7 linked regions of the Macaca mulatta genome follow. The protein of the gene in region 2 purifies or fractionates together with the protein of the main gene of each other region. This does not show direct contact. Links are inferred from orthologs where the notes say so. Each region holds a gene or a part of one and is shown on either strand. Other genes may lie near its edges.

Region 1 (4,397 bases), on a different chromosome or scaffold from region 2:
GGAAATTTCGACACTACCAAAGGTGCCCTTTCCTAAAACTAAATCATCAAAAACTCACCACTTCAAATGTCCCTGGAGCCACAATCAGATTATCAATCACATTGTTTATTTTTGTCACCAGAGAAAGGATAGATGCCTGAAAAACAGCATGAAACAATACTCGAAGATGAAAAATTAGAAGCAAATTCTCAGAGTTTGAGTATTTTCTCCTAATCCCTTCCATACGAGCTGACTCAATACTGACCTAGGACTTTAAAAACACTTCATTCTGGCCTTGAATATATGGAAAGAGAACAACTCTTTATCCCCAATAAAAATAAGAATGCATATGTAATTTGTTTATATATCCACCTGGCTGTCTCCACCCACAATGAGAAATAAGGAGAACAATTAAACCCTCTGTGGATTTCAGGCTCTGTTAACACCATTCTTAACCTTACCAACAGTTACTCTTTACCAATACTTTTACCTGCTTTAGAGACATTTCTGGAAGACAGCCAAAAGAACATACCTGTTCAGCAGAATTAGGAGCCAGGTCCTGATTCCTCTTCAGCAAGGCCTCACTGAAGGAGGTTTCATCAGGTGCTGGCTTGACCCGGGGGAAGGCCATTTCACACTAAACCAGAAGTAAACAACTACATTCCATTTGCCGAAAATAATATACAGGAGAGATTGTTTTTTCTATTACTACGACAGAAAAAGGTTAAAAATAGAAAATTCTACACTTGTTTTTACTCCTTAATTTGTTCAATTAGCTGGGCATGGTGGCTCACGCCTGTAATCCCAGCTGAGGTGGGAGAATCCCTTGAACACAGGAAGCGAGGCTGCAGTGAGCCAAGATCGTGCCACTGCACTCCAGCCTGGGCAACACAGTAAGACCCTGCCTCAAAAAAAAAAAAAAATTTTGTTCAAAGGCCAGGCATGGTGGGTCACGCCTGTAATCCCGGCACCTTGGGAGGCCGAGGTGGGCAGATCGCTTGAGGTCAGGAGTTCAAGATCAGCCTGGGCAACATGGTGAAACCCCGTCTCTACTAGATACCCAAAAAATAGCTGGGCATGGCGCCTATAATACCAACTACTTGGGAGGCTGAGGCAGGAGAACTGTTTGAACCTGGGAGGCAGAGGTCCTGATTCCTCTGCCTCCCGGGTTCAGTGCAGTGAGCCAAGATTGCACCACTGCACTCCAGCCTGGGTGACGGAGTGAGACTCTGTCTCAAAAAAAAAAAGAAAAAATGTTCAAACAAGGATACAAGCTGGAATAGCCATAATTTAAGCTATCACTATCTTTATAGTAACAAATTAGCCGTAGATACGATTACTTGTTCAGAACAAAGATTATAATCATGTTTAATGCCAACAGTAGTCAAGGAATTATTCTCCCCACCATGCTTACACTGTTTCTGTAGGTAAAGCAACACACAGTTGACTCAAAACCCCAAGTCTTTTCAAAAATCACTTTCCCCCTCACTTCAATCACCATTTTTTTTTTTTTTTTGGTAGTGGTGCCATCTCAGTTCACGCAACCTCCGCCTCCCGGGTTCAAGCGATTCTCCTGCTTCAGCCTCCCAAGTAGCTGGGATTACAGGCACACGCCCAAGCAACTTTTTTATTTTTACTAGAGATGGGGTTTCACCATATTGGCCAGGATGGTCTCAAACTCCTGACATCAGGTGATCCATCCGCCTCGGCCTCCCAAAGTGCTGAGATTACAGGTGTGAGGCACTGTGCCTGCCCTCTTCAACCACTATCTAACTTCATTAACTGGGAGATACTAGGCTCCATTTCAAGAATGGCCAGAAATTGTGTATTATTAACCCAAGGTACTCACCAAATAGAAGTCAAATGGGATATGTGGTACAAAGGGCCTGAACCTAAAACATGAAAAACAGCCAAATTATTCCCTATGTAGGAATCAAGTGAGATTTAAATAACACACCAACAATTTTGAAAACATGTCAGACCTCAGAATGAGTGACAAAGTCTCTGGGGAGGGAGAGAATCATTCTTAGCATAGTGGGGCCAAATTCATTTAGCAGGAGTGCGGAAAAGACCACAGTTGGCTCTCACAAAACCAAGTGACATTAGTCTATTCCAAAACTCCTATTTAGATGACAAGCAGAAACTAACAACTAAGTGCAGAGATGCTAAAAGCTGGCACTCACCCTCCTCCTGGGCCTCCTCTGGAACCAAAGCGCCCACCACGACCACGGCCTCTGTCACCCCTAGAAATGCAGATTTTATTTTGATCTCATTGAAGGAATACCCACCGGCCATATCATTTTAAGTTGGCTACTTTCATCCCTCGGAACCTCCCAACGGTAGGCAAGAGACCCCACTCACACACTCCTCCCCATTCCAAATGGTGCCCAGTTACACCCCCATAACCTCCTCATTCTGGATAAGTTAATCACAACCCCCCATCAAGTAATGATGGGGCTCAGACAGTGAGCCCTACACGAAATAACCCATAATCCTGGGCCACACGAATCCTAATACTTCGGAAGCTAAAGATTGCTCATTTCTTCATTAACGTACACATTTATCGGGCATGTCCTATATGTCAAGCCCTTCGCACTGAGGATGAATGCGGCTCGCTCCAGCATTCTCAGCCCGGATGACGGGGGCGGAGGGAAGGTGGGGAGCTCCTCCGGGGACTTGAGGACACCTCCTCATCGCAACCCTTCAGAGAGAGGTGTCGAACCCGCCTCCCCACTCCTGGGCCCCAACCCCATCCCGGGCCCGTTTCCCCGCCTCTACCGGCCTCACTCTCTCCCACTCTCTTAGACCAGGAGTTCTCAGGTTTTTGGCCAGCTCCCGGATACATGGTCCTTTTAGGTACTCCGACTTCTTTCGACCCACGTTCCCAAAGTTTTCCGTCGAATACCTGAAACCTTTCGACCACTTCGACCCCCTTACCTCATGGCGCCTTAAAACACGAACAATGGAGGCCGCACCAACCGCCCCTTTCCTCTGAGGAGCAGACAACTGAAGAGGAGTCTTGCCGGCGTGTCCCAATAAAACCCGGCGTGATTGGCTCCCGCCTTACCCCATCGCTTATGCCTATTGGCTTACTTTGTCAAACCGGGCTTATGAACCAATAAAAAACGCCTACTGTGTCAGGAACTAGCCAATAAGAACTGGTTCTATAGTAATGACGAATTTTTGATCAGACATTAGGTGGCACTGAAGAAGTCAGGACAACGACTACGTGGTCTTCTATAACAGTTATGAGAACGTTGGCCTTCAGATAGCAGAGTGGCGCAGCGGAAGCGTGCTGGGCCCATAACCCAGAGGTCGATGGATCGAAACCATCCTCTGCTATCGGAATTTTTTCATTGCCCTGTACCGTACACGTAATTTACATTACATTCAGTGAATGAAAATACCTTGCCGATTTTCCTACCCCAAAAACGCAAGCAGTATCAGCCATTTTTGCCACTAGCAGTTGAAGTTGATGGGGAAAAGGGAGTTTAGGCAACCATGAACACTACACGTCTACAAACTCGAAGCAGGAGAAACAGGTTTCAGATAGGAGGAGTATATTGATTGAATTAATGTGGAAAACAGGTGTTCCACCCGCCTCAGCCTCCCAAAGTGCTGGGATTACCGGCCTGAGCCACCGCGCCCGGCTTGGTTACATAAATTCTTTAGTGGTGATTTGTGAGATTTTGGTGCACTCATCACCCGAGCAGTATACACTGAATCCAACTTGTAGACTTTTATCCCTCATCTACCTCCCTTCCATACGTACTTTTTTGATATTTAATTTACTACAGCAGAACGTAAACATCTTAAGTCTAAACGTATTCTGTCCACATAACCACCATCCAGATTTAAATAAATGTTATTAATTTAAAAAAAAAAAAAAAAAAAAAGGGCCGGGTGCGGTGGCTTGTGCTGGCGGGCACTTGTAATTCCAGTTACTCAGGAGGCTGAGGCAGGAGAATCTTGAATCCAGGAGGCGGAGGTTGCAGTGAGTTGAGATGGCGCCACTGCACTCCAGCCTGGGTGATAGAGGGAGACTCCGTCTTAAAAAAAAAAAAAAAAAAAAAAAAAAAAAAAAAAAATCTTGCTTGAGGTTTGTTGAGCTTCTTGAATCAATGGCTTGAGGTTTGTCATCCATTTATATAATTTATTAGCTATTATATCTTCCAGTATTAGTTTTACCTATTATTTCCCTCCTTCCTGAACTCCAAAGACGTATTAGACTTTTCCCCCAGTAATCTCTTTGTCTCTTACCCTCTCTTCTATTATTTTATTTGTACACAGGGTCTCACTCTGTTGCCCAGGCTGGAGAGCAGTGGTACACCATCATAGCTCACTGCAGCCTCGACCCCCTGGGCTCAACAGACTCTCCCATTTCGGCCTCCCCAGTAGTTGGGACTACTCAGAGGCAC
Region 2 (4,354 bases):
GAATGAGAAGCTTTCTGAGTCCTTCCAGGAGCCCCCAACTTAACAGCTGGTTACACAGCCAACTCCTGAGGACAAACAGGGAAAGTCTTCCCAAATCAATCCACACAAGTGATAACTTTCTTCCGCTTTCCCTTGAATTATATACATAGACTTCCTTGCCCCCAAACTCCGGTCTTCCCCTTGTGATGCAAAGGGATGCCACTCCCATTCCCCACTAACAAATCCAAATTACAGGTAACAGGTGGGTGGGGCATCTGGGTCAATTAAAAGTAGCACAGGACAAACCATCTGATGTCATCAGAACTCTAGTGAGCTCAACTGCAATGTTTACCTCCAGGGGAGCGTTTTAATGCTCTCCTTTTGTACAGCCCAGTGTGTTCAGGTGCACGGAAAAAAATCAATTGTTTCAACTGAAAGAGAAGGACATGCGCCACACTTAATCCCAAACGGAATGCCAGAAACAAAAGTAGAACTAAAGGCTGCCCCAGGTTTGCTGTTTTATGCTGGCCACAGTTAAAAGGATTCACAAGAAAATGATTACCTTTGACACCAGCCAACCCCTCTATCCGCGCTGTCACGCTCATGGCTCACTGCTCCACAGAGATCTTTACCCTGAGTCTCCCCGACAGGCTGGACGTCAGATTACAGACAGCCTATACAGTCGACTCACACATGGATCTAGGTTTCCTTTATGTTTAAAAGGAACAAAAATCCAACTGCCACCCCCATTTCACAGCTGCGGAAGCAGAAAGGTCTACAGGGCATAAAAACTACAAGGAGGCGGGGCCTCCGCAGGTCCTGCTCCCTTCTTCAAGGGACCTCTCCTCTCTCCCTCCCCACCTTCACAAAATGTAAACAAAACTGAAAAAACCACCCATACGTGCACACCTGTTCTCCTCACACCCAACTTTCTATTTTAAGGAATATGGGGTTAGAATGAGTCAAATGTTTCTTGCTTCCATTAGGGGCTAAAAGGAAGCCCAAGTGGGTGGTCTACCCACGGGAATGACTCAGCCGACTACCAAGTAAGCCCCCCTCATGCAAGGACAGGGTCTGAGCTCACTCAGGATGAGCAAGGAGTGGTTCTCCCAGCTTTGAAACACCAGCACATGCCAAGGGACACCTGTGCCAAGGTGAGCCTCGGAGTTACTCCCTGTCAGGAAAATAAACCTGAGCGAGGGGTCAGGCACAAAGCAACCCTAAAGTGAAAGCAACCTGAGATCCAGAGGATGATGAGGACATGCCCCTGGAGCCCGGTGCAACCCGCGCCCCCCCAGCCCCTCTCCCACCCCAGGCAGGCAGCACCCAGGACCAGGAAATGCATGCCTGATACTTCTCCCAACCCAAGCCCCCATTTAAACACCTAAGTAACCTTCTCTAAACATCCACATCATTAAAAATGAGTTTCCAACGTGGCAGACGCATTTATGTAAACCCATTACTGCTGTCTTATTGGAGGAACAAAACTCAAACCCAACTTTTCCAAGGCAAGAGTTGTGGAGTTATGTAACAGGTCGGTTTCAGCAACAGGCGATGCAAGAAAAAATAAAATACAAACTGCTTCCTGAATGATCTTAATAGCCAGCCAATGTGTGCTCCTCTATGGGAGGCAAAAATTCTTCCCTGCCTCAATCTTCCGCTGACCAGCGCCCTTATGCTTGGGAAAATTCGAACCTACGGCTCCGTGACTGTGGAAGGGGGGATGCCCAGATGGCTGTGACCACAGATGGGAGGTGGGACAGTGCGGCCGGACCCCCCACTGGGGAGACGGGGCAGAATCCCCGGACCAGGCCAGAGACAGGGTTAGGGCAGGTCACCCTGGATACTCCCGGAAGGGGACTGAGGGAAGTCACTCAAGATCCGGCCTGAGCAAGACCCGGCCCAGGCCGTAGGGGAACTCGGGGCAGAAAACCGAGACCTGAGAAAGAGGGACCAGGGCAGGTCACCCTAGCCCGGATGGAGTGGAAGAACTCAGACCAGGGCAGGTTACTCCAGGCCAGGCTGGTTGTGGGACACAAGGCAGGTCAGCCCGGGCCCAGGCGGAGGAGCAAACCCAGCCGGAGTAAAGGAAGAGGGTCAGGTTAGCTCGGACCCGAACGGAGTGGAGGACTCGAGGCAAGTCGGCCCAGCCCAGGAGTTGGGGGCCGAAGGAACTCAGCCAGGTCCAGGCCGGAGCGGGAGACCCGGGGCAGATCAGGCCAGGCCCGGGCAGAGTGCAGGACCTGGGGCAGGTAAGCTCAGGCCCAGCCGGAGTAGGGGACCCGGGGCAGGTCGCCCCAGGCCCGGCCGCGACGGGGGACTCCGGGCAAACCCAGGCCCGGCCCGAGACGGGCTAGGGACAGGTCTCAGGCGCCGAGACAAGGCCCGGGCTTCCGGCGCCGCCATGTGCCGCTCACCTGCGCGTCGAGCTGTCCCGCCGCGGCGCCCGCGCCCGCGCCGCCTGGGCCTCCCGCGCCGCCACCGCCCGGGCCGCCGGGGCCGCCGGGGGGCGTCTGCGTCTGGCTAGGAAGAGTAAAGTCGGTGAACTCGAACTCGGAGCCCTGTGTATCGGCGCCGAGCAGCTCGGCCTCCTCCGTGTCCAGGAAAGTGAGAGTCTGAGAGCTGGGCCCGTACGCCTCCACGCTCATGGTGCTGCCGGGTAGGGCCCTCGGGCCGGCTCCGCGCCGCACTCGAGCCCGCCGCCGCGCTGAGGCCTAGGCCGCAGGCCTCGGCTCGCTGCCGCTGTCGTCCCCGTACGCCTGGAAAGGACCGAACCGCCCTCCCCGGCGCCAGCCGAACCGAGATGTAAGAGCGCCGAGCCGCCGCCGCTGCCGCCGAGCCCCTCCGCGCCTCAGTTCCCCTCGAAGCCGCCCGCCGCTCGCAGCCCCGGGCAGGAACTGCCGCCACCGCCGCCGTCGCCGTGCGCGTGCGCGAGCCCGACGCCGGCGGAAGCGCGCGCGCTCTTCGCGGACGCCGGGTGCCCAGCGGGACGACGGGACGCTCAACGCGCACGCGCAGGGGGTGAGGCTTTCAACCGCCGTCGCGGCTGCCCCTCGAGGACTTGGTCCCGCCCCAACTGCTAATCGGGGACTCCCGGGCGGCGGGTGGTGTGGACCTGGTGGTCTGCACCTGTGGTCGCTGCGACAGTGTTTCGGTTTAATTAAGCGCTAGCCGAATAGCCTACGTAGGTGATCTCGAAATGCCCAACTGGAGAGGCTGGGCAGGGACGACGCGCTCCCACTCCTGGCAAAAGCTGCTTGGAACTCAGTTTCCCCATCTGTAAAATGGGGGGTGCCTCGCACATAGTAGATGCTCCCTGTGCATTGGTTTAATAAGGGGGTGGGGCTCGGCGCGGTGGTCACACCTGTAATCCCAAACACTCGGAGGCTGAGGCGGGAGAACGGCTTGAACTCAGGAGTTCGAGACCAGCCTGGGAAACAGAGTGAGACTCCATCTCTACAAAAAATACAAAACTTAGGCCGGGCGCGGTGGCTCACGCCTGTAATCCCAGCACTTTGGGAGGCCGAGGCGGGCGGATCGCGAGGTCAGGAACTCGAGACCATCCTGGCTAACACGGTGAATCCCCGTCTCGACTAAAAATACAAAAAATTAGCCAGGCGTGGTGGCACGAGCCTGTAGTCCCAGCTACTTGGGAGGTTGAGGCAGGAGAATCGCTTGAACCTAGGAGGCGGAGCTTGCAGTGAGCCAAGATTGTGCCACTGCACTCCAGCCTGGGCGACAGAGTGAGACTCCGTCTCAAAAAATAAAAAAAAAAATTAGCTAAAAAAAATTAGCTAAGTGTGGTGGTTCTCACCACTGCACTCCAGGCTGGGTGACAGAGCGAGACCCTGTCTCAAAAATAAGTAAAAATAAATGAATGGGGATAGTCTTAGGTACTGGGCCTGACACTTGGAAATGATGGTTGCTGCTGTTCCTGATGCCTCTGCCGCTGTCATTATACAATTACTATTTTTGCTATGATTATTATTTAGTGGACATATACAGCAAAACAACAGGAAGCACATGGTGTGTGGTGGAATCTAGAGCTAACCACTTATCAGCTGTGTGAAATTATACAAGTGAGGTAGGCCAGGCGCGGTTTCTCAAGCCTGTAATCCCAGCACTTTGGGAGGCCGAGGCGGGCGGATCACCAAGTCAGGAGACTGAGAGCATCCTGGCTAACACGGTGAAACCCGGTCTCTACTAAAAATACAAAAAATTAGCTGGGCTGGTGGCGGGTGCCTGTATTCCCAGCTACTGGGGAGGCTGAGGCAGGAGAATGGCATGAACTCGGGAGATGGAGCTTTCAGTGAGCCGAGATCGCACCACTACACTCCAGACTGGGCAACAGAGCGAGACCACATCTCAAATAAAT
Region 3 (3,796 bases), on a different chromosome or scaffold from region 2:
TATATGGGTTTTCATGTTAATTTAACAAATTATTATTGGGCTTTTACTATACATGGGCACTATTTTAGTCACTGGAGATATAGCAGTGAAAAAATTGAAAAGCAAGTAAGACAATTTTAGACAATAAGTGCTACAAAGACAACACATATTGTGATGAAACTGAAAGCAAAAAGAAAACACACACACACACACAAAGACAGCACAACAGATCTTTTTCTTAATGATGGGAAGAGACTTCTTAGATTGAATGGACAGGCAAGATATCACCGAGGAACCGACTTTTGAAGACCTCAATAATAGAGAGAGTCTTGTACAGAGTTAAAGGAAGAATATTTTAGGCAGAATGTGGCAAGTGCCAAGGCCCTGAAGTAAGAACCACCTAGGTATTTCTGAGGAACAGAAATGAAGCTAGTAAGGTTTGAACACCATGACAGACTGGAAGCATGGTAAAAGATAAGGTGGGAGTTTAAATTTTAAGTACAGTGGGAAGCCATTGGAGTTTAAATCAGTGGAATACATAAGCAAATTTACATTTTTAAAGATCACACTGGTCAGGCGCGGCAGCTCACGCCTGTAATCACAGCACTTTGGGAGGGCAAGGTGGGCGGATCACCTGAGGTCAGGAGTTCAAGACCAGCCTGGCCAACATGGTGAAACCCTATCTCTACTAAAAATACAAAAATTAGCTGGGCATGGTGGTGTGTGCCTGTAATCCCAGCTACTCGGGAGGCTGAGGCAGGAGAATCACTTGAACCCAGGAGGTGGAGGTTGCAGTGAGCTGAGATCATGCCACTGCACTCCAGTCTGGGCGACAGAGCGAGACTCCGTCTCGAAAAAAAAAAAAAAATTACATTGGCTTTCAGGATGGAAAAATGGATGGTATGGAACAAGAGGAAAAACAAGGGAACCTATTAGAAGTCCAGAAGTCTGGATTAGGATGGTAGCAGTCAGAGTGAAAATACCTTTTCTGTTAATTCAGTTCAATATGATAGTGGCTTTTATTTTTTAGTTAACAAAACGGTGCTCGGAATGAATATATAATGTATATAAATACACATGAATTTAAATACATATACTGAATTATTTGTATGATTTTCCTTTCATTAGATTGGTGAAATAATCATGTTCTATTTTTCTTTGTATCTCCACAATGCTTTGTCCATAGTAGTTAGTAAATGAGATAGGCAGCAAAAGCTTTAAGTGGAGGAGGGAGTGTGGGGGGTCCTAAGAAGAAATTCAAGGCTGGGTTCTTGGTGGCCAGCAGCACTTGTTCTCTCTGTTCCTTCCTGTGGGATTAATGCTTCCTTAGACCAAGGTGCTGGCAATCTGCTTTCTGCAGGGCTGACCACCACCACCACCACCACCATCACACACACATGCACACAGTTTCACTATCATATGCAGAGCACTAAACCTCATCTTATTTGTAAGATTTCTGCACTACAGGATAATCAATAAAACATACCTGCCGGCCCACTCGGTCAGGAGGAGGCCACAATGCATCATCCTCTTTGGTAATTTCACTGTCATCGATTATTCTCTTCAGTTCCTCCATCACGCTTTTATGTACATAAGCCTGAAAGCAAGTTAAAAGACAAAATGTATGTTGTATCCTTAAGCAGTGCTTTGACTCAGATAGTGATGGAAGATAAAAATAACTGTTCCTGCAGACTTATTTCTGGCATCTTCTTAAGTGGGAAGACATTCATGCTCAACCTCGGCATGATGCAGGTGAGGGACAGGGTCAGAAGTATCTAATAAACTGCACCTCAGTCCCCCATCTAGCTGTTACTACCTCCTGGTACATCCTGTTTACATGGCCCTTCTGCCTGTCCACACAGCCAACTCACAAAGAAACCCAAAATAGATCTGTGAATGCCCCCTGCTATGGTTTGAATTTTTGTGTCTCCTCCAAAATTCATGTTGAAATTAATCCCCAATGCAACGGTGTTAATCGATAGGGCCTTTAAGAGTTGATTGGGCCTTGAGGGCAGAGCCCCCATGGATAGGATTAGTGCCTTAGGAGACAGCTTAAGAGAACTAGCTGGCCCCTTGCTTGTTCTTTCACCATATGAGAACACTGCATTCATCCCTTCTGGAGGATGCAAAAACAAGGCACAGTTGTGGAAGCAGAGACTGGGCCCTCACTAAACACTGAACCTGCCAGTGCCTTGATCTTGGACTTCCCAGCCTCCAAAACTGTGAGAAATATATTTTTATGGCTTAAAAATTACCCAGTCTCAGGTATTCTGTTATAGCAAAACAAAAGAGACAGCAACACCTACATGCCCTGGTTTATTTTTTTTTGAGACGGAGTCTCACTCTGTGGCCCAGGCTGGGGTGCAGTGGTGCAATCTCGACTCACTGCACGCTCTGCCTCCTGAATAGCTGGGACTACAGGCACCCACCACCACGGCTATATTTTTTTGTATTTTCAGTACAGACGGGGTTTCACCGTGTTAGCCAGGATGGTCTCCATCTCCTGACCTCGTGATCCGCCCACCTTGGCCTCCCAAAGTGCTGGGATTACAGGCGTGAGCCACCGCGCCCGGCCAGTTATTCTTAACTAGGTAATACGCTCCTGAGGAGCAAAATGTATTTGAAAAGATATGCCTGTGTAAAAAAATAGTGAGAATGTTGACATGTGTGAATAAGCATGAAACTGATAGCTAAAACAACAGTATGAAAAATATATGCTAAGACATTTTCAAAGGTGGCAGAGTGGTTAAAAGAGTAGCTTTGATGAAGCCTTAATGATGTAGTAGAAATCACAGAGAGGAGAATACAAACTTTACTGGGGAATTCCTTTAATTGGGAATTCCTGCTGTATCTCTTACTAGCAGGGGTAACTCTGAACAAGTCTCATAATTAATATCTGGGCCTTTATTTTCTTATTTGTAAGGGGGCTATAATACCCTCCCCCATCATATGGGCTTATAATCAGGGTTAAATAAGATGCCATGCCTGACATCTAACATGCATTCAATGATATCAACTGCTTTCCCATGCTCCCTTTCCCACTCAGATGCAAATTAAATAGCTCTCCATTGTGTACTATGTGCCAGGGAATATATAGAGCACTTTAAGTATAACACATTTAATTTTATGACAGCACTTGGGAGTGGGAGGTAGCTTTTATTTTCCCTGTTTTTGCAGGTGAAGAAACAGAGATTTAATCAAGTTCAGCCAGGAACTTGCCCACTGTCACATGAGGTAGTAAGCAGCAGACTCAGGGTTCAAACCAAGGTATGTCAATGGTTACCAGTAATTGATTCCACATTGTAAAATAAAAAAATCCCAACTAAAAGATGATTTGGGAAATAATCCAGAAGCTGTCTACAGACATGTGTCTCTCTCCCTGTTCTTTACCTTTCAATACTAGATACAACAAAAACAATGCAAGACAAAAAGCTGAAATGTAGAAAATGAAGGCCTCTCAGAAGGCATACCTCTTTTCTGATCATGACATCATTCTTGTAATTGCTGTTGTTGGCATATCTTAACTTCCCTGTGGGGACAAAAGCCAAATTCAACATATAATAAAAACATGAATAAAGCATCAATACCATACCAAGACTATCGGCAGTTGCCTAAAATGTATCCAACTTGCTCAAAGTGTCTAAGACATTTATTATTTACTCTTAAGGTAGTTCAACAATACTAGTCTTTCAGTTCTTCACTTCAGGCTTAAACAGCCAAATATACAGCTGACACTCAACTACTGCAAAAAGCAGCTCAGGTGAGGTAAAAACACAGGCAGGCTCTTTTCTGACTTTGTCGAATCACATTTTTGCAG
Region 4 (2,852 bases), on a different chromosome or scaffold from region 2:
AACAGGGGTACAGAAATTATCCCCCTACAACCCCAGCCTCCTTAGGGCTCCATGCTGAAGGCTCCCCTTTTCCGTTCCCTCCTGCCCAGGACTGCATTGAGGTTTCCTAGCCCTGAGGTGGTGGGGTGGTGCGGGCCCTCCCTCCCAGTGCTCTGGGAACCAGGCCTATGCCCTGCCCTTCCTCAGGGCCCCTGGGGCTCTTGCCCCTTTGACCTTTCCCAAAGGATGGTCACACACCAGCACTTTATACAATTCTGGCTCACAGGAAAGTATCTGCAGTAGGGGACCCAGAGTCCCAGGCCCCTGGAGTTGTTTTTGGCAGGGGCCTTGTCTCTCACTGCATTTGGTCAGGGGGGCATGAATAAAGGCTACAGGCTCCAACGTGTGTGGCAGCTTCTGGTCTTTCCCTCTGGGTGCTTAGTGTCCCATCTCTTTTCATGTCCAAGTTGCTTGCCAGCCTGGCCCCCTGCCTACAAGGCAGGCCAGCGGCCGGCAGGGTGGAGTCTTAGAGCAAAGGATGAGGTCATGCCTGGCTCTGGGCCAAGGAGGCGGGTGAAGGGAGTGGTCTGTAGCAGGGGGCTAAACTTAGAAACCTGTGGGTGGCTTCCCTGCCACCTCCCACTGGGTTTCCTCTCCAGCTGGGAGGGGGTGTGTCCCAGAGCAGGGCTGAAAGTCCCACCCTTCCCTACTGGGTCAACTTGGGGGCTCAGGAAGCTGGGGCCAGGCAGAGGAGACATTATCAAGGCTTTTGCATAGAACAAGATTTTGTTTTCAGAGTTTTCTTCCTCCCCCTTCCCCCAATTGTTAGCAGCTTGATGTGTCATTCTCCCCAGCAGGGGAGGGGGTGGAATGGCTTGGGTTGTAAACTCCCTCCCCCAGCCTTCCTGTCCCTTGAAGGGGCAGCTCAGCTGGGTTCTGGTTCAGGGTCAGGCAGGCAGTTAAGGCTTGGCTGGTGCGAGAAGGCTGGGTGCTGTGTCTTCAGAGCTCATTCCTCCACTCTGGCTCCACTTGCAGAGACAGGCCCCCTTCACCCTCCTGCTCCTGGGGGAGGCAGTCATGACCATGGGACCCTGGAAAGAAATAAAGTACACTTTGTCTTCCTTACCACTTCCTCTGGCACTGTCCCCAACCTGGCCCACCCTGGCCCAGCCATACCTGAGGTAGAGGGGCTGAGCTTGCTCAGACCTTGCAGTAAATTCTGTCCCTGTTGCAGGTCCAGTTTGGCAGGGAAGGGACACCCGGTATACCCTCCGTTTTCTTTACAGAACTCCAGGAATCTGTGGGGTACAGAGGAGTGCCAGCAGAGACTGGAGGCTAAGCCACGGTCCTGTCACATCTGAGCTGTACTTGCTCAACCTCTGGATGTCATTTAACTTGTAAATATAATAGGGGTGCTGTGAAAATGGACACATCTGAGGATTAACTGAGCGATAAGCAAGCGCTTAAAAAAGATCCACCTGCCTTAGGCAGGGGCTGTGGCCACCAAGAGGGAGAATGGGGTGGGAATGCTCACACTTTCCAGTCGGGATCATGGCCCAGGAGAAGGGGGTTCCCCACGACGATGAGCAGGGCCTTGGCCCGGGTCACAGCTACATTGAACCTCTGGAAGGAAGAAGTGTGGTCATGGGAGGGAAGGGCCCCAAGATGGAAGAATTCCTGCCACCCCGACCAGCCCTCAAACCTTGGGGTTCTTAAGGAAACCCAGATTAAAGTCCAGATCCAGCTGCACAAAACTCTGGCTGCTTCGCACAGTGGAGATGAGGATGACGCTTCGTTCTTGGCCTTGGAATTCTTCCACTGAACCCACCTATCGGGGAAAGAGGCAGGGCCTGAGACCAGCCAGGCGTGTCAAAGGGGTGCCCTACCCCAGCAAGCCTGCCATCCAAGGAGGGTACAGAGAGGTCACTGGGCAATTGTAGACCAGTGGAGTGAACAAGTGAGTGCTGCGACACGGCCCAGGGAAAGGGGACAGGAGGTAGGCAATGGAAGCTGAAACCTGAAGGGTGAATCCTGTTGAGGGGTGGGGCCTGCAAAGTGTTCTAAGGAAAGAAAACAGCATTGCAAAGCACACTGGAACTCAGAGCAGTGACTTTCACACTTTCCGGAAAATAATCACCAAGTATCTGTTAAGAATATACAACCCTGGGCCCTAACCCAGACCCCCCCATCAGAATTTCCGAGAGAGAGGCCTGTAAGTCTTAGAGCAGTGTTTTCAACCCTGGCTGCACATTGGAATCACCTGAGAAGCTATAAAAACTACCAGTGCCCTGGCTCTGCCCCATAGCTGTATGAGCTGGTGGGCGGGGCCCTGGCACGGGGGTATTAAAAGCTCTCCAGGTGATTGTTATCTGCAGCCAGTGTTGAGACCACAACCTTACAGAGGCTACTGGGGGTGGGGGTGGGAGCATCACATGACAGGCCACGGAATTTGGACTTTATCCGTAGGGCAGAGGCCTCAAACCTGCCTGAGTCTAAGAATGACAGGAGGTGCTTGTTAAACATCCAGGCTTCCTGATCCCATCCCAGACCATTAAGTTGGAATCTCCAGGAGTGAGAGGCTTGGGGAGAGCTCCAGCTCTATTCAAGGCAGCAGGGGTGGGACGGGGATGTGGGCTGGACTGGAGTGGAAGCTTGAGAAAGTCTTTGGAAGTGGGCAAGTGGGAGCACACGGAGGGGAGGGAGTGAGTGTGGAACAGCGTGTCACCTTCAAGTCCTTGATGTCATCCAGTCCTCGAAGCTCCCTGTCAAGTTTGGTGATGCAGTAACGGATTTTCTCCACCTGGAAGGAGGGGGACAGGTGCCTTTCTCTCCTGCCATTAACCTCATGCACGAGGGAGCCTGGCAGGAGGCCA
Region 5 (3,796 bases), on a different chromosome or scaffold from region 2:
TTTTAGGGATAATGAGTCCAGCGTTTTCTGCTTACCCTGCCTCCATTCTCTAACTGCTCCCAGTAAGGTCGTACTGAAAACAGAATCTCCTTTTTTGGTTTCTCATCCATCTCAAATCAGCCATAAATGATTAAAGTGAGAAAGAGTCAACATATCACCACACTCTGTACCTCATCCCGAGTTTTCTATAAATGCTAATAATTTTCCCTGATTTTGCTCAACTTTGAGCGGGGCATATGACATCTACTCTCTGGCTCCATCTATAGGATCTCAGGGCCTGTTCCTTACTGCTGAAAGTATCCTTATTTATTCTGAAGGGTGGTAAAGTTGCAGGGTGGAAGGTGGATGCCTGACTGTACACATATGGCTACCCAGATGAAATTAAACTGAGGGCCAAAATAACTCACCTATGGGTTAACGGTCACTATTAGTTCATAATTCATGTATGCTGTTTAATGAATTAGAGTATAGAGAACCCTGGGCCCCAGAACAAGCAACTTAAAGTCATAGACAAGTTTTTTTCAGCTTGTTAGCATCAGGCATCTCATTTGTAAAACAAATGGACTCTAAGGTCCTTTACATATTTGGATTTTTGTGATCATGGGAAAGCAAAATAATTAGTAAAACTAAGATAGTAAAATTATCTTTTATTGGCTATTAAATAATTTGCTTTGATATTCCATTTTTAACTTAGGTGAATTTAAATATCTTCAGCATGTCCTTTTTGATCTAATGAGGTTTTAAATACTTTCTTAAGAGTAGGGTCTTTTTTCTGACACGTTTGAGTTTCAGTTTATTATAGTTTTGCTTCTCTTGGTCACAGGTAAAATCCCAGACAGAACTAAGAAAGACTCCAGTGTCTGAAGCCAGAAAAACACCTGTAACTCAAACCCCAACTCAAGCAAGTAACTCCCAGTTCATCCCCATTCATCACCCTGGAGCCTTCCCTCCTCTTCCCAGCAGGCCAGGTAAATATGTTTTATAATTTCTTCTACTTAATCTTTTCTGTGCAAGAATTTCTGTTCACTCACTGAGAAATGTGTATTCTGTTAGAGTAATGTTACTAACCCAAAGAAAGTTCTGTTTTCCCTAATGCTTATAAAATTATTTTTGAAATGTTTCTGTGTAGTGTACATGCAAGTGCATGTTTGTTATGATGAAGGAAATCCTATCACTGAACACAGAAGCTACTTACACAACACTGATTACTTCAGTGGATAGAGGAAAAGTGTCAATATTTTTAATTCTTCAAATCAAGTTTGACAACGTGACTGATCTCTTTTATGATGTGTTAGAGGACTCCCTCTACTTACCTGTTTTTAAAAAAATGAATTTTTTGCTGTTTCTTTAGAACTAAATCTGTGTTCTTCTGTTTTGAAGGGTTTCCACCACCAACATATGTTATCCCCCCTCCTGTGGCATTTTCTATGGGCTCAGGTTACACCTTCCCAGCTGGTGTTTCTGTCCCAGGAACCTTTCTTCAGCCTACAGCTCACTCTCCAGCAGGAAACCAGGTGCAAGCTGGGAAACAGTCCCACATTCCTTACAGCCAGCAACGGCCCTCTGGACCAGGGCCAATGAACCAGGGACCTCAACAATCACAGCCACCTTCCCAGCAACCCCTTACATCTTTACCAGCTCAGCCAACAGCACAGTCTACAAGCCAGTTGCAGGTTCAAGCTCTAACTCAGCAACAACAGTCCCCTACAAAAGCTGTGCCGGCTATGGGGAAAAGCCCGCCTCACCACTCTGGATTCCAGCAGGTAAGTTACAGTTGTGTGTACTGTCCAGCTGAATGAAATAAAGGGAAATGCTGAAAGATTGAATGTTAGAAATGCTGATTGAACTTTGACATACTTCTTGTTTAGATTTGTAGTGATTATGAGAAGGCAAAAGTATTGTCTCTACTGTTTATGAAAGTTCAAATGTTTTCCTTACTTTTGTAAAGTGTATAATACTAGATCTTAACTACCATTCTTGGCTGCTACTAAATGTCCATTTTATTGAAAATGGATTTTCTGCAAATAATTCTATAGGAACATAAACTACTAGGGAAATAGAATCACAGTCTTGATGAGGTACTAAGACAGATGTGACACCGATCTTAAATGTTGTCGTTTGAAGCACAGCACTTGAAGCAGAAAGGGGAAACAAACACTCTTATGCAAATATATTCATTCATTCATTAACCCTCTTAAATAGTTGAATTAAAAGAAAATATGAGTGTGGTGCCCATAATCTGTTCCCAAAAAGCTCTGTGTATTGAAAAGCCCAAAAGGTAAAGGAAACTGCTGCCTTGCCTAGAGTTTTGTTGCTTGGAAAACACCTCAAGTTCATTCTGTGATTCTTTAGCATTCATTATAAGTAATATTGCATTTTATCCTCACCTTGATGACAGGCATCTCTTTTTTAGTATCAACAGGCAGATGCCTCCAAACAGCTGTGGAATCCCCCTCAGGTTCAAGGCCCATTAGGGAAAATTATGCCTGTGAAACAGCCCTACTACCTTCAGACCCAAGACCCCATAAAACTGTTTGAGCCGTCATTGCAACCTCCTGTAATGCAGCAGCAGCCTCTAGAAAAAAAAATGAAGCCTTTTCCCATGGAGCCATATAACCATAATCCCTCAGAAGTCAAGGTCCCAGAATTCTACTGGGATTCTTCCTACAGCATGGCTGATAACAGATCTGTAATGGCACAGCAAGCAAATATAGACCGCAGGGGCAAACGGTCACCAGGAGTCTTCCGTCCAGAGCAGGATCCTGTACCCAGGATGCCATTTGAGGTGTGTGTTCTTTCCTATCACCGGGCATTTTGGAGATAGGTTTGGGGTTGACTATCTTTTGAATATCTCAAATGGATCTTATAAAGAGGCCACTCTTATTCTTTAGTACTATAGAATGCCACTGAGTATTGGTGTAGCTCTTGGTTTCCTCCTCAAAGTTGCACAGTATGTTTTAGTTTGGAAGCTGAAGAATTCTGTAACTGATTCAGAACTCTGATGGTCTGGCAAAGAAACCATGTACAGAAATCTCTAAAACAGCATGTTAGAGAATTCTGAGACAAAGCACTCCTCTCAGTTGGGCTGAATCATCTAAGTTTAAAAATAGGTTTACTGATACTTAAATAAGTTGCTCTCTGAGAGGAACAAAGTTAACCAGTTATCTTGGACAGTGGAGGTCCCTTTCTTTGCCCTTTTTATTCATGAGAAGCAGGTGAATGTTAGTAACTTTTTAAAAGATCTCTTACTTTCTTTGTTAGCACAAGAGATGCTAATTATTTTGCTCCTCCATAGCATTGTTTTACTTAACTAGCCACATTCACCTTTTGTGTTCTGCTCTGTCAGTATTTTTGCTTTTCTATTGTCTTGAACTTTCTCCAGTATTGTCCTTGTGTTGCTTTGCCTTTGCATTTCAGAGCCTTTTTTCTTTGCCTAATACCATCTATCTCACTATCCCCTTGACTGTAGTTGTCTTCTTCCACCTAATCATACTACTATTCCTTTATGCTTTTGTTGTCCCTTATTGCATCTCACTGTGATCCTTTCTGTCACTAGGACCCCAAGAGCTCCCCTCTGCTTCCTCCGGACCTGTTAAAGAGTCTGGCTGCCTTGGAGGAAGAGGAAGAGCTGATTTTTTCTAACCCTCCTGATCTTTACCCGGCTCTGCTGGGGCCTCTCGCCTCTCTTCCTGGACGAAGCCTTTTTGTATGTATTTGACATAATTCTGCTTCTTGCTCTAACTCCCAGCTGCTTTTCTGAGATATTGTAGTACACAGATTAGGTGATTTCTTATCT
Region 6 (3,796 bases), on a different chromosome or scaffold from region 2:
ACTGCTCTGAACTCACCACCATTACTCCAACCTAAATGAAATACTTTACGTTCTTCTAATCCTTGTCACTTTTCCATCCTTGTACTAACTGCACTTTTTGCTGATATTGATGTTAATGTGTGGCAGCTCCATTTGACCAAGTTCACAGGAAAAGGGACGGCACTGGCTGTTTTCAACTCAGGGTCTAGGGCAGCGCCTGGCATAGAGGGCCCAGACTATACCTGTCCTGTAGACAGCAAGTGCTGGCTTTACTGCGTATCTTCTAGAGAAGATGCATTGATCCACCACACAATCACATGCTCCACAAATTTGCCACAGCTAACCTGACAATTTGTTTAAAATTATCATTTCCAATGCTGGCAGGCTGTGGACAGACAGGTTGCTTATGGCCTGTCAGCAGGTTGTAAAATGGCACCCTCTTCCTGTGGAGAACTTGGCCATATGTACCACTGTGCATACCCGCTGGTTCAGCAATTCTACTTCTAGGACTGTGGACAAAGACTTTACTGCAACAATGTTCTTCCCGACCCATTTCATAAGAGGGAAAACTACAAACAACCTAAATAATCAAGTCCCTGCTGGAAAACAAAGCAGTGCATTCACTTAGTGGAACACTTTGCAGCCATTAAAAAGTGCTTAGGTGTGTGCTGAATTTGAGTCCTCCAAGGAATTTTAAGTAAATGACGTAACATATTCAAAATATACACGTCAGTGAAAAAAGGTGTTTTTGTTGTTGTTGTTGTTTTTTCCCCAGCAAAGCTCCTCAGAGTTTTCACAGGACCCAGTGAGAAAACAGCCCAGGAGAACATGTCCACAACAACTGCTGCCCTCAGGACTGTGCCAACCAACGCTGCTCTAGTGAGTGAAGGTGGGAGACTCAGAAATACCAATAGGCACTTATCCTTTGTAGCAATACTCTCATCATTCTCATGGAGGAGTCAAGGGGAAGAACTGCTGGGGAAGTGCTGACAGCGCTTAGATCCGTGGTTCTCCAACCTTGACCATACCTCAGAATCACTCCAAGAGCTCACTAACAACATGGCTGGGTATGGTGGCTCATGCCCGTAATCCCAGCACTTTGGAAGGCCAAGGTGGTCAGATCACCTGAGCTCAGGAGCTTGAGACCAGCCTGGGCAGTACAGTGAAACTCCATCTCTACTAAACATACAAAATTTAGCTGGGCGTGGTGGTGAGCACCTGTAGTCCCAGCTACTCGGGCAGCTGAGGCACAAGAATCGCTTGAACCCAGGAGGTGGAGGTTGCAGTGAGCCAAGATCATGCCACTACACTCCAGCTTGGGTGACAGAGGGAGACTGTCTCAAAAAAAAAAAAAAAAAAAAAAAAAACCCAGCAAGAACAATAAAAGCAAAAGCCAGATTCCTGAGTCTTACCCTAGACCTACTGCATTAGAATCCCGGGGTTGGGCCTAGAATTTCTTTTTTTAACTTCTCAAGTGATTGTGATGCACAAAATCCATATAGCAGTGTCCAGCAATTGTTTATCAACTATTGGCTGGAAGTACTAGAAATACCTATTCCATCTGACTCCAATTAAGATTAGCACCAGTCAGGTAAAAAGCTGAAGAGCCTCCAAAATAACTCAAATTCCACTACCTTTTTGGTGTTTTAACAAATCTCACCACTGAAAAGCTCATCCTTTTAACTTCACTAAATCCTCCTCTTTTAGCTACAGCCTCATTTTCTTTGATTTGGTCCTTAGTGGGCCATGGAAACAGATCATCTACTAGAATAGGTGATTACAGTGGAAAATGGAAACGCAGCGTAACGAAAGAAAAACAAATCGTTCCTGTGCAGCCAGCCATGAAGCCCGAGCTGGGTCGCCCTGGGTGGCAGTTGGATACAACAGACCTCAGCAGGCACCCTGCCCAAGGTCCGCTTGGGTCTACACCTCTCATCACATACTTAGCCCACTGTTCTGTGCAGGATCTTCTTGTTCTTTGTGAACATGTTTCCTGGTGAAGAAAAGTCAAATGCTACCCAGAGATATTTTCAGGTGGCATTTCCTGCTGTGATTAAACAGAATTATGAAATCTCAATGTTTTCAATTCACTGGGCTTCTTCTGGCCTTTGTGACTCTACCTGTGATAAGATTCTGCCTGGCCAAAGATATTCACTAATGCTTTGACCCCCTCAATGGCATGGAGTTACTGATTCCCTAAGAATTATATTGCTATTGAGTCACAAAAATGTTAATAATCCTTTTCCTATCATGGTGGTTTTAAAGCATGGTCCCTAATTCTTTGACAATCCCTTCATCATCTGGAAATGGGATTCTCCATATTGTGAATGTACTAAAATCTACTGAATTGTACACTTACACTAGTCAATTTAGGTTATATAATTTTTACCCTCAATTTTTTTTTTTTTTTTTTTCTGAGATACAGTCTCGCTCTGTCCCCAAGGCTGGAGTGCAGTGGCACAATCTCGGCTCACTGCAAGCTCTGCCTCCTGAGTTCACATCATTCTCCTGCCTAAGCCTCTCGAATAGCTGGGACTACAGGCTCCCACCACCACGCCCAGCGAATTTTTTGTATTTTTAGTAGAGACAGGGTTTCACCGTCTTAGCCAGGATGGTCTCGATCTCCTGACCTCATGATCTGCCTGCCTTGGCCTCCCAAAGTGGTGGGATTACGGGCGTGAGCCACTGTGCCTGGCCACCTCAATTTTTTTTTTTAAGTGACATTTTATATCTCCTTCCTTTGAATCTGGGCTCTGTGCCTGCTTGACCTGTAGAACATGGCAGACACGATGCTGTGATTTCTGAGCCTAAGCCTTAAGAAACTGGCAGCTGCTTCCATTTCCCATCTTCTAGGATGCTTACTCTGGGCAACCAGCCACCATACCATGAGGAAGTGTAAGCAATCCTTCCATAGGTCACCCAGGGATGAACTGAGGTCCTGGGGCCAGAGACCCAGCTGAGCTCCTAGCTGACAGCAAGCACCAACTTACCAGCCACACGAGTGAGCCATCTTAAAAGCAGATCTTCCAGCCCCCTGCAGAGTCACCTCAACCAAAGCTGTGTAGAATGAAGACAAGCTACCCTTACCAAGCCCGGCCTCAGTTGCAGACTTATGAGCAAAATAAATGCCTGGAGATGTTTAAACCATCACTAAATTCTGTGACGGTTTGTTATGAGGCAATAGATAACAGGCGCTTCTATATAATCAAGAGTGGCTGGTCAAAAACAGCTTCAGAAAATTCTCTAACCTGGTACCATATATCACAAGCAAAATCTTCAGTACTGAAGACTTCATCCGTACATGTTCTTCACAACTCAATTGAATCGCAAACTTTCTAACGTGTTCACACCATGTCACTCAAAACCATGCCATAGACTGGAAAAGAAGGCAACTGACTTTCTTGTTAAGAAATTTTAAAACGAAAAAAGGGGTAAAAAGCAAGAAAGCTACAGAGCATAAAATCTTGGAGGCATTCAAATAAAAATTATGGACAGCTGTCAACATGCCTTCTTAGAAAAGATAACGTGCAGTGACATCTCCCCACTACCCTCCCACCCTGTCGAAGCGTCAGGGAGCCTGGGCTCCGCTCCTTACCTCCAGCCTCTCCGGTGGGGGCTCATTCTGCAGGATCCTCAATGCTTTGGCAGCAGCATCATGTTTCGCAGCCTGTCTTGTCTTTCCTTTCCCATTAAATTGCTGTCCTCCCACAGAAAGTTCCACTTGATAAAGTAAAGGTGGAACTGGAAATGGGTAAAAGTACCTAGAAATAAAAGGAGGTTAGGCAAATTACAGTCTCAAGTTGATAAGTCACCTATA
Region 7 (4,351 bases), on a different chromosome or scaffold from region 2:
GCCGAAGCACTCGGGTTATGTTTGGTAAAGGGTGCAGGCTCTGGGGTAAATCGCGTGCAGCTGGAACACGCATCGGCTTTGCTGCCATCTGCTAATGTGAATTCCATTCCTTTTGGGGCCTCGATTTCCTCCTCCATAAACTGGTATCCACAATGCCAACCTTGCGACAGGCTCCGTGAATGTGAACGCTGTGAGAGTGCGCGTCTCTCCCTCCCGGGAAGAACTTGGATGGTGTCAGGACTACACTCTCGCTCCGCCTAGGGCCGCTCGCTGGGCCTGGCTTCCTGGCCGTCGGGCTACGCGGGCTCAAAGGACACCATCGCCCTCTTATGGCCCCGGCAGTACTGGACCAAGGGGCTGGGCTCTAGCGCCTTCCTCCAAGCACGGCGGAGGGCGAGGGTCTGGCCGCTCACTTACCTAGGGCCTTGGGGCACTAGCATTCACGTCACGGACTGCCTGGCAGGGCTGACTTTCTTAAGTGTGGTCGTGCGCCTTGCTTAAGTGGAAGAAATGCTGTCGCTTTGGAGATTTATAAAACAATTGGTTCGATGGATCTTTCTTCAGGAGGCAGACTTGGTTTACCTGCTTTTCTGACCACAGTTGATGTAAATGATTTCATTTAATCCTCTTTAGAGTCCCTGTGCATGGGGAATTACCATTCCCAATTAGTTTGTTGTGAATGTAGGGCAAGGAGAGGGAGACGGTAGTGGGGAACGGGAGAAGGGGCGAGGGGGTACGCTCCTATTAAAACGGAGCCGCAGCAAAACCCACAGAGACATGTCTGTTCCCTGCTGAATCCTTAGAACAGCGCCTGGCACACACAGAGCACTCAACTCGCTGTGTAACTAAATGCAAGCCATCTTCGTATTATGTGTGCACTTCCCTTCCCTACCAAATATACCTGGCTTGCAAGGTTTGACCTATACTGTTAGACGATTTTTAACTTGTTTCCAAAAGAAATATTGGAGTAAATTAGCTTGCTTAAAGAAGTCTTTATGAAAGAACAGAACCAAGTGAGAAGTATCTGGAGCCCGGTTTGGAGGTATAGATGATGATGCTGAGCAAGCACCCACGGGGCGGCAGCAATGTAGAATACTGGGGCTACTAGGAACCGTGTGGACAGGGGCTCTTCTCTCTGTTCAAATAGTGTTTTCTGTAGATCCCATCTCTCCATCCTCCTGAGCTCTCTCTTAGAAAATACCGGATTTCAGCAGCTTAGAATCGGACAGAAACTCAGAGGTCCGTTTCTCAATTATCGCTAACCCTTGTAAACAATAAATGGGATGGTGAGTACAAGACAGTTTTGGTAAAAAGTCACACCCCACACAACATGAGATTGTATTATTCCACGGGTGCTCCCTTGCCAATAGTAAACATGGCAGCTCGGCTCCCTTCCCTTCGGGTTCGCCTTAGTGTTGCCAATTGTAAACATGGCCTCCAGGCCGTGAGTTCTCATTGGCAGCTGCTCTGAGTCCCCGCCCTTCCCCGCCCCTCCGAACGCGGCCAGGAGTCGCGGAGTCGGATATCGCGGCTCCCGGCTGAGCTGCGCCTGCGCAACTCATTGGCGCCAAGATGGCGATGGAGATGAGGCTTCCAGCGGCTCGCAAGCCTCTTAGCGAGAGACTGGGTCGCGACACTAAGAAACATCTAGTGGTGCCGGGGGACACAATCACTACGGACACGGGATTCATGCGGTACGTGGGGACTTGGGGGAGTCGAGGCTTCCATAGAGCGGCTTCAGGGCTCTCTGCACGTGGTCCAGGCCTCGTATCCCGGTGTGTCTAACTCCCCGCGGGACCCCAGGCACTTGGTCTGAGCATCCTACTCGCCTCGCTTCCGAGCCTCGTGCTTCTTGCCCCCTGCGTCTTGTGTGTCCCCTTCTGCGTTTGTCTCAGCTCCCTGAAACCCTCCACTCCTGACCTCTGGTGGCTGTGACTTTTGGGTCTTCTGCCTGAAGTCCAAATCTTTGAGCCTTCCTTGTAGGAGACCTGGAAAACCGGGGAGGTTTAGGCGCAGGCTCTCTTTCCAGTTTTCAGCTCTCTGAGGGGACGGTGGGTGTTCTTGGCCGCCTCCTCTTCAGTTTAGAATCCGTAATTGTTCCAGCTTAGGGCAAACAGTTACATTGTGCTGCCTGCACCCATTTATACACATTTTGAATCCAAGGGGTGCAGTACAGTGTGTTGTAGTTAAGAGGGCAGGCTCTTTTTTTTTTTTTTTTTTTTTTTGAGACAGAGTTTCACTCTTTTTGCCCAGGCTGGAGTGCAATGGCGCGATCTCAGCTCACTGCAACCTCCGCCTCCCAGGTTCAAGCGATTCTCCTGCCTCAGCCTCTCGAGTAGCTGGGATTACAGGCATGTGCCACCATGCCTGGCTAATTTTTGTATTTTTAGTAGAGACGGGGTTTCTCCATGTTGGTCAGGCTGGTCTTGAACTCCCGACCTCAGGTGATCCACCCTCCTCAGCCTCCCAAAGTGCTGGGATTACAGGCGTGAGCCACCGCGCCCGGCCGAGGGCAGGCTCTTGAGTCAGACAGTTGGGGTTCCAGTCCAGCTACCATCACATCTTATTAGCGGCATTGCCTCTCCACGGTCAGTTTCCTCATCTGTAAGATAGTGATAATAACAGTATGATACGGTAATGAGGATTAAATGAGATAATTATGTAAGAAAAGAAGTAAAACCAGCCATTATATCATCATCATAGATAACACTAGCGTTTCAACCTTTTTTTTCTGTACATGTATCTATACAAGGGGCACAGCATTCATAGCATTGCCCTTTAACCTGTTAGTTTAAGGCTAGTGGATCCTAGGAAATATTTTTTTTTTCATTTTTGAGACGGAGTCTCTCTGTCGCCTAGGCTGGAGAGCAGTGGTGGGATCTCGGCTCACTGCAACGTCTGCCTCCTGGGTTCAAGCAATTCTCCTGCCTCAGCCTCCTGAGTAGCTGGGATTACAGGCACCTGCCACCATGCCCAGCCAATTTTTGTATTTTTAGTAGAGATGAGGTTTCACCATGTTGGCCAGGCTGATCTCGAACCCTTGACCTCAAGTGTGATCTGCCCACCTTGGCCTCCCAAAGTGCTGGGAGTACAGGCATGCCCAGCCCCTAGGAAATTTTTTTTTTTTTTTTTAATGAGACAGAGTCTCACTCTGTCGCCCAGGCTGGAGTGCCGTGGCACAGTCCCAGCTCACTGCAACCTCCACCTCTTGGATTCAAGCAATTCTCCTGCCTCACCCTCCTAAGTAGCTGGGATTCCAGGCGCACGCCACTACGCCCGGCTAATTTTTGTATTTTTAGTAGAGACGGGGTTTCACCATGTTGGTCAGGCTGGTCTCAAACACTTGACCTCGTGATCCACCCACCTCGGCCTCCCAGAGTGCTGGGATTATAGGCGTGAACCACCGCACCTGGCCAGGAAATCTTAAGATTCATTCTTTCGTTAATGCTTTCAACATATATTTATATTTTGTGCAGTTGGGATATAACGGCAGAGTGAAAAATCTCTGTCCTGGTGGAGTTCTAACGGAGAATGTTAGGCAATAATGCAATGGGGAAAAACGTGGAGCAGGGTCAATGGAATGTGGGGGAGTGGTGGCAACGGGGTGGGCTGTGTTTTCAATGGCACAGTCAAGGTAGGCCTGCTGGAGAAAGTGACACCTGAGCAGACCTGAGTGAGAGGAGTGATTTCCAAGTAGCCAGTCTGGAGAAGGAGCACTGAAGGCAGGCTTTGCAGGGGGAGCTTGTTAGCTTTGAGGAACACATTGTTCTTGAAAGGAGAGAGGTCACCTCGAGTTACCCTGGTATCCTTTCTTTGTACCTTTGCCTTGCATCAGGGGCCACGGAACGTATATGGGAGAAGAGAAGCTCATTGCATCTGTTGCTGGCTCTGTGGAGAGAGTAAACAAGTTGATCTGTGTGAAAGCTTTGAAAACCAGGTGAGAACAAAAGGTGTGTATTCCCTTTCTTGCGGCATCCAGGTTGTACAACCAGGCTTTTTCTGCCCCCTCCATATCCCCTACCCCACCCCTGCCTGCCCTGTCATGCTGTAAGTCTGAGGTTTTGACCATGACTGTAGGTGGGGTGGTGCAGATCAGTGTAGGCTTCAGAGGTTTTCCCATGTTATGTCACCACTCCAAGCCTTGGTTACCTCCTCTGCAAAGTGAGTATAATAGCATGGCCTACTTCACAGGATTTTCTTTTTTTTTTTTGAGACGGAGTCTCGCTCTGTTGCCCAGGCTGGAGTACAGTGGCACAGTCTGCACGCTGCAACCTCTGCCTCCCGGGTTCAAACGATTCTCCTGCCTCAGCCTCCCAAGTAGCTGGGATTACAGGCACTCGCCACCACGCCT

What was found.
Region 1: the proteins of UPF1 (region 2) and ILF2 purify together in Homo sapiens (affinity purification with mass spectrometry; 3 studies listed by BioGRID and IntAct, counting the BioPlex papers as one, with this or other methods). This does not show direct contact. The link is inferred for Macaca mulatta from reciprocal best matches to the Homo sapiens genes UPF1 and ILF2.
Region 3: the proteins of UPF1 (region 2) and MAGOH purify together in Homo sapiens (affinity purification with western blotting; 3 studies listed by BioGRID and IntAct, with this or other methods). This does not show direct contact. The link is inferred for Macaca mulatta from reciprocal best matches to the Homo sapiens genes UPF1 and MAGOH.
Region 4: the proteins of UPF1 (region 2) and MOV10 purify together in Homo sapiens (affinity purification with mass spectrometry; 3 studies listed by BioGRID and IntAct, with this or other methods). This does not show direct contact. The link is inferred for Macaca mulatta from reciprocal best matches to the Homo sapiens genes UPF1 and MOV10.
Region 5: the proteins of UPF1 (region 2) and SMG7 purify together in Homo sapiens (affinity purification with western blotting; 7 studies listed by BioGRID and IntAct, with this or other methods). This does not show direct contact. The link is inferred for Macaca mulatta from reciprocal best matches to the Homo sapiens genes UPF1 and SMG7.
Region 6: the proteins of UPF1 (region 2) and STAU1 purify together in Homo sapiens (affinity purification with mass spectrometry; 7 studies listed by BioGRID and IntAct, with this or other methods). This does not show direct contact. The link is inferred for Macaca mulatta from reciprocal best matches to the Homo sapiens genes UPF1 and STAU1.
Region 7: the proteins of UPF1 (region 2) and EXOSC2 purify together in Homo sapiens (affinity purification with western blotting; 3 studies listed by BioGRID and IntAct, with this or other methods). This does not show direct contact. The link is inferred for Macaca mulatta from reciprocal best matches to the Homo sapiens genes UPF1 and EXOSC2.

The regions. Positions count from the first base shown.
Region 1 is NC_133406.1:113,368,316-113,372,712, reverse strand, and holds the start of ILF2 (interleukin enhancer-binding factor 2), read right to left. Parts: upstream 3,010-4,397; 5' UTR 2,922-3,009; coding exon 2,917-2,921; intron 2,223-2,916; coding exon 2,163-2,222; exon of another isoform or gene 2,131-2,162; intron 1,872-2,130; coding exon 1,829-1,871; intron 636-1,828; exon of another isoform or gene 617-635; coding exon 512-616; intron 137-511; coding exon 59-136; intron 1-58. UniProt on the Homo sapiens protein: Chromatin-interacting protein that forms a stable heterodimer with interleukin enhancer-binding factor 3/ILF3 and plays a role in several biological processes including transcription, innate immunity or cell growth.
Region 2 is NC_133424.1:19,389,234-19,393,587, reverse strand, and holds the start of UPF1 (regulator of nonsense transcripts 1), read right to left. Parts: upstream 2,910-4,354; 5' UTR 2,628-2,909; coding exon 2,397-2,627; intron 1-2,396. UniProt on the Homo sapiens protein: RNA-dependent helicase required for nonsense-mediated decay (NMD) of aberrant mRNAs containing premature stop codons and modulates the expression level of normal mRNAs.
Region 3 is NC_133406.1:187,373,237-187,377,032, reverse strand, and holds part of MAGOH (protein mago nashi homolog), read right to left. Parts: intron 3,509-3,796; coding exon 3,450-3,508; intron 1,577-3,449; coding exon 1,466-1,576; intron 1-1,465. UniProt on the Homo sapiens protein: Required for pre-mRNA splicing as component of the spliceosome. Plays a redundant role with MAGOHB as core component of the exon junction complex (EJC) and in the nonsense-mediated decay (NMD) pathway.
Region 4 is NC_133406.1:127,559,379-127,562,230, forward strand, and holds the end of MOV10 (helicase MOV-10), read right to left. Parts: intron 2,780-2,852; coding exon 2,705-2,779; intron 1,808-2,704; coding exon 1,682-1,807; intron 1,603-1,681; coding exon 1,514-1,602; intron 1,395-1,513; exon of another isoform or gene 1,278-1,394; coding exon 1,156-1,277; intron 1,071-1,155; coding exon 979-1,070; 3' UTR 729-978; downstream 1-728.
Region 5 is NC_133406.1:41,024,279-41,028,074, forward strand, and holds part of SMG7 (nonsense-mediated mRNA decay factor SMG7), read left to right. Parts: intron 1-823; coding exon 824-968; intron 969-1,380; coding exon 1,381-1,763; intron 1,764-2,413; coding exon 2,414-2,785; intron 2,786-3,556; coding exon 3,557-3,706; intron 3,707-3,796. UniProt on the Homo sapiens protein: Plays a role in nonsense-mediated mRNA decay. Recruits UPF1 to cytoplasmic mRNA decay bodies.
Region 6 is NC_133415.1:101,962,811-101,966,606, forward strand, and holds part of STAU1 (double-stranded RNA-binding protein Staufen homolog 1), read right to left. Parts: intron 3,741-3,796; coding exon 3,575-3,740; intron 1-3,574. UniProt on the Homo sapiens protein: Binds double-stranded RNA (regardless of the sequence) and tubulin.
Region 7 is NC_133420.1:16,887,961-16,892,311, reverse strand, and holds the start of EXOSC2 (exosome complex component RRP4), read left to right. Parts: upstream 1-1,551; 5' UTR 1,552-1,572; coding exon 1,573-1,694; intron 1,695-3,835; coding exon 3,836-3,937; intron 3,938-4,351. UniProt on the Homo sapiens protein: Non-catalytic component of the RNA exosome complex which has 3'->5' exoribonuclease activity and participates in a multitude of cellular RNA processing and degradation events.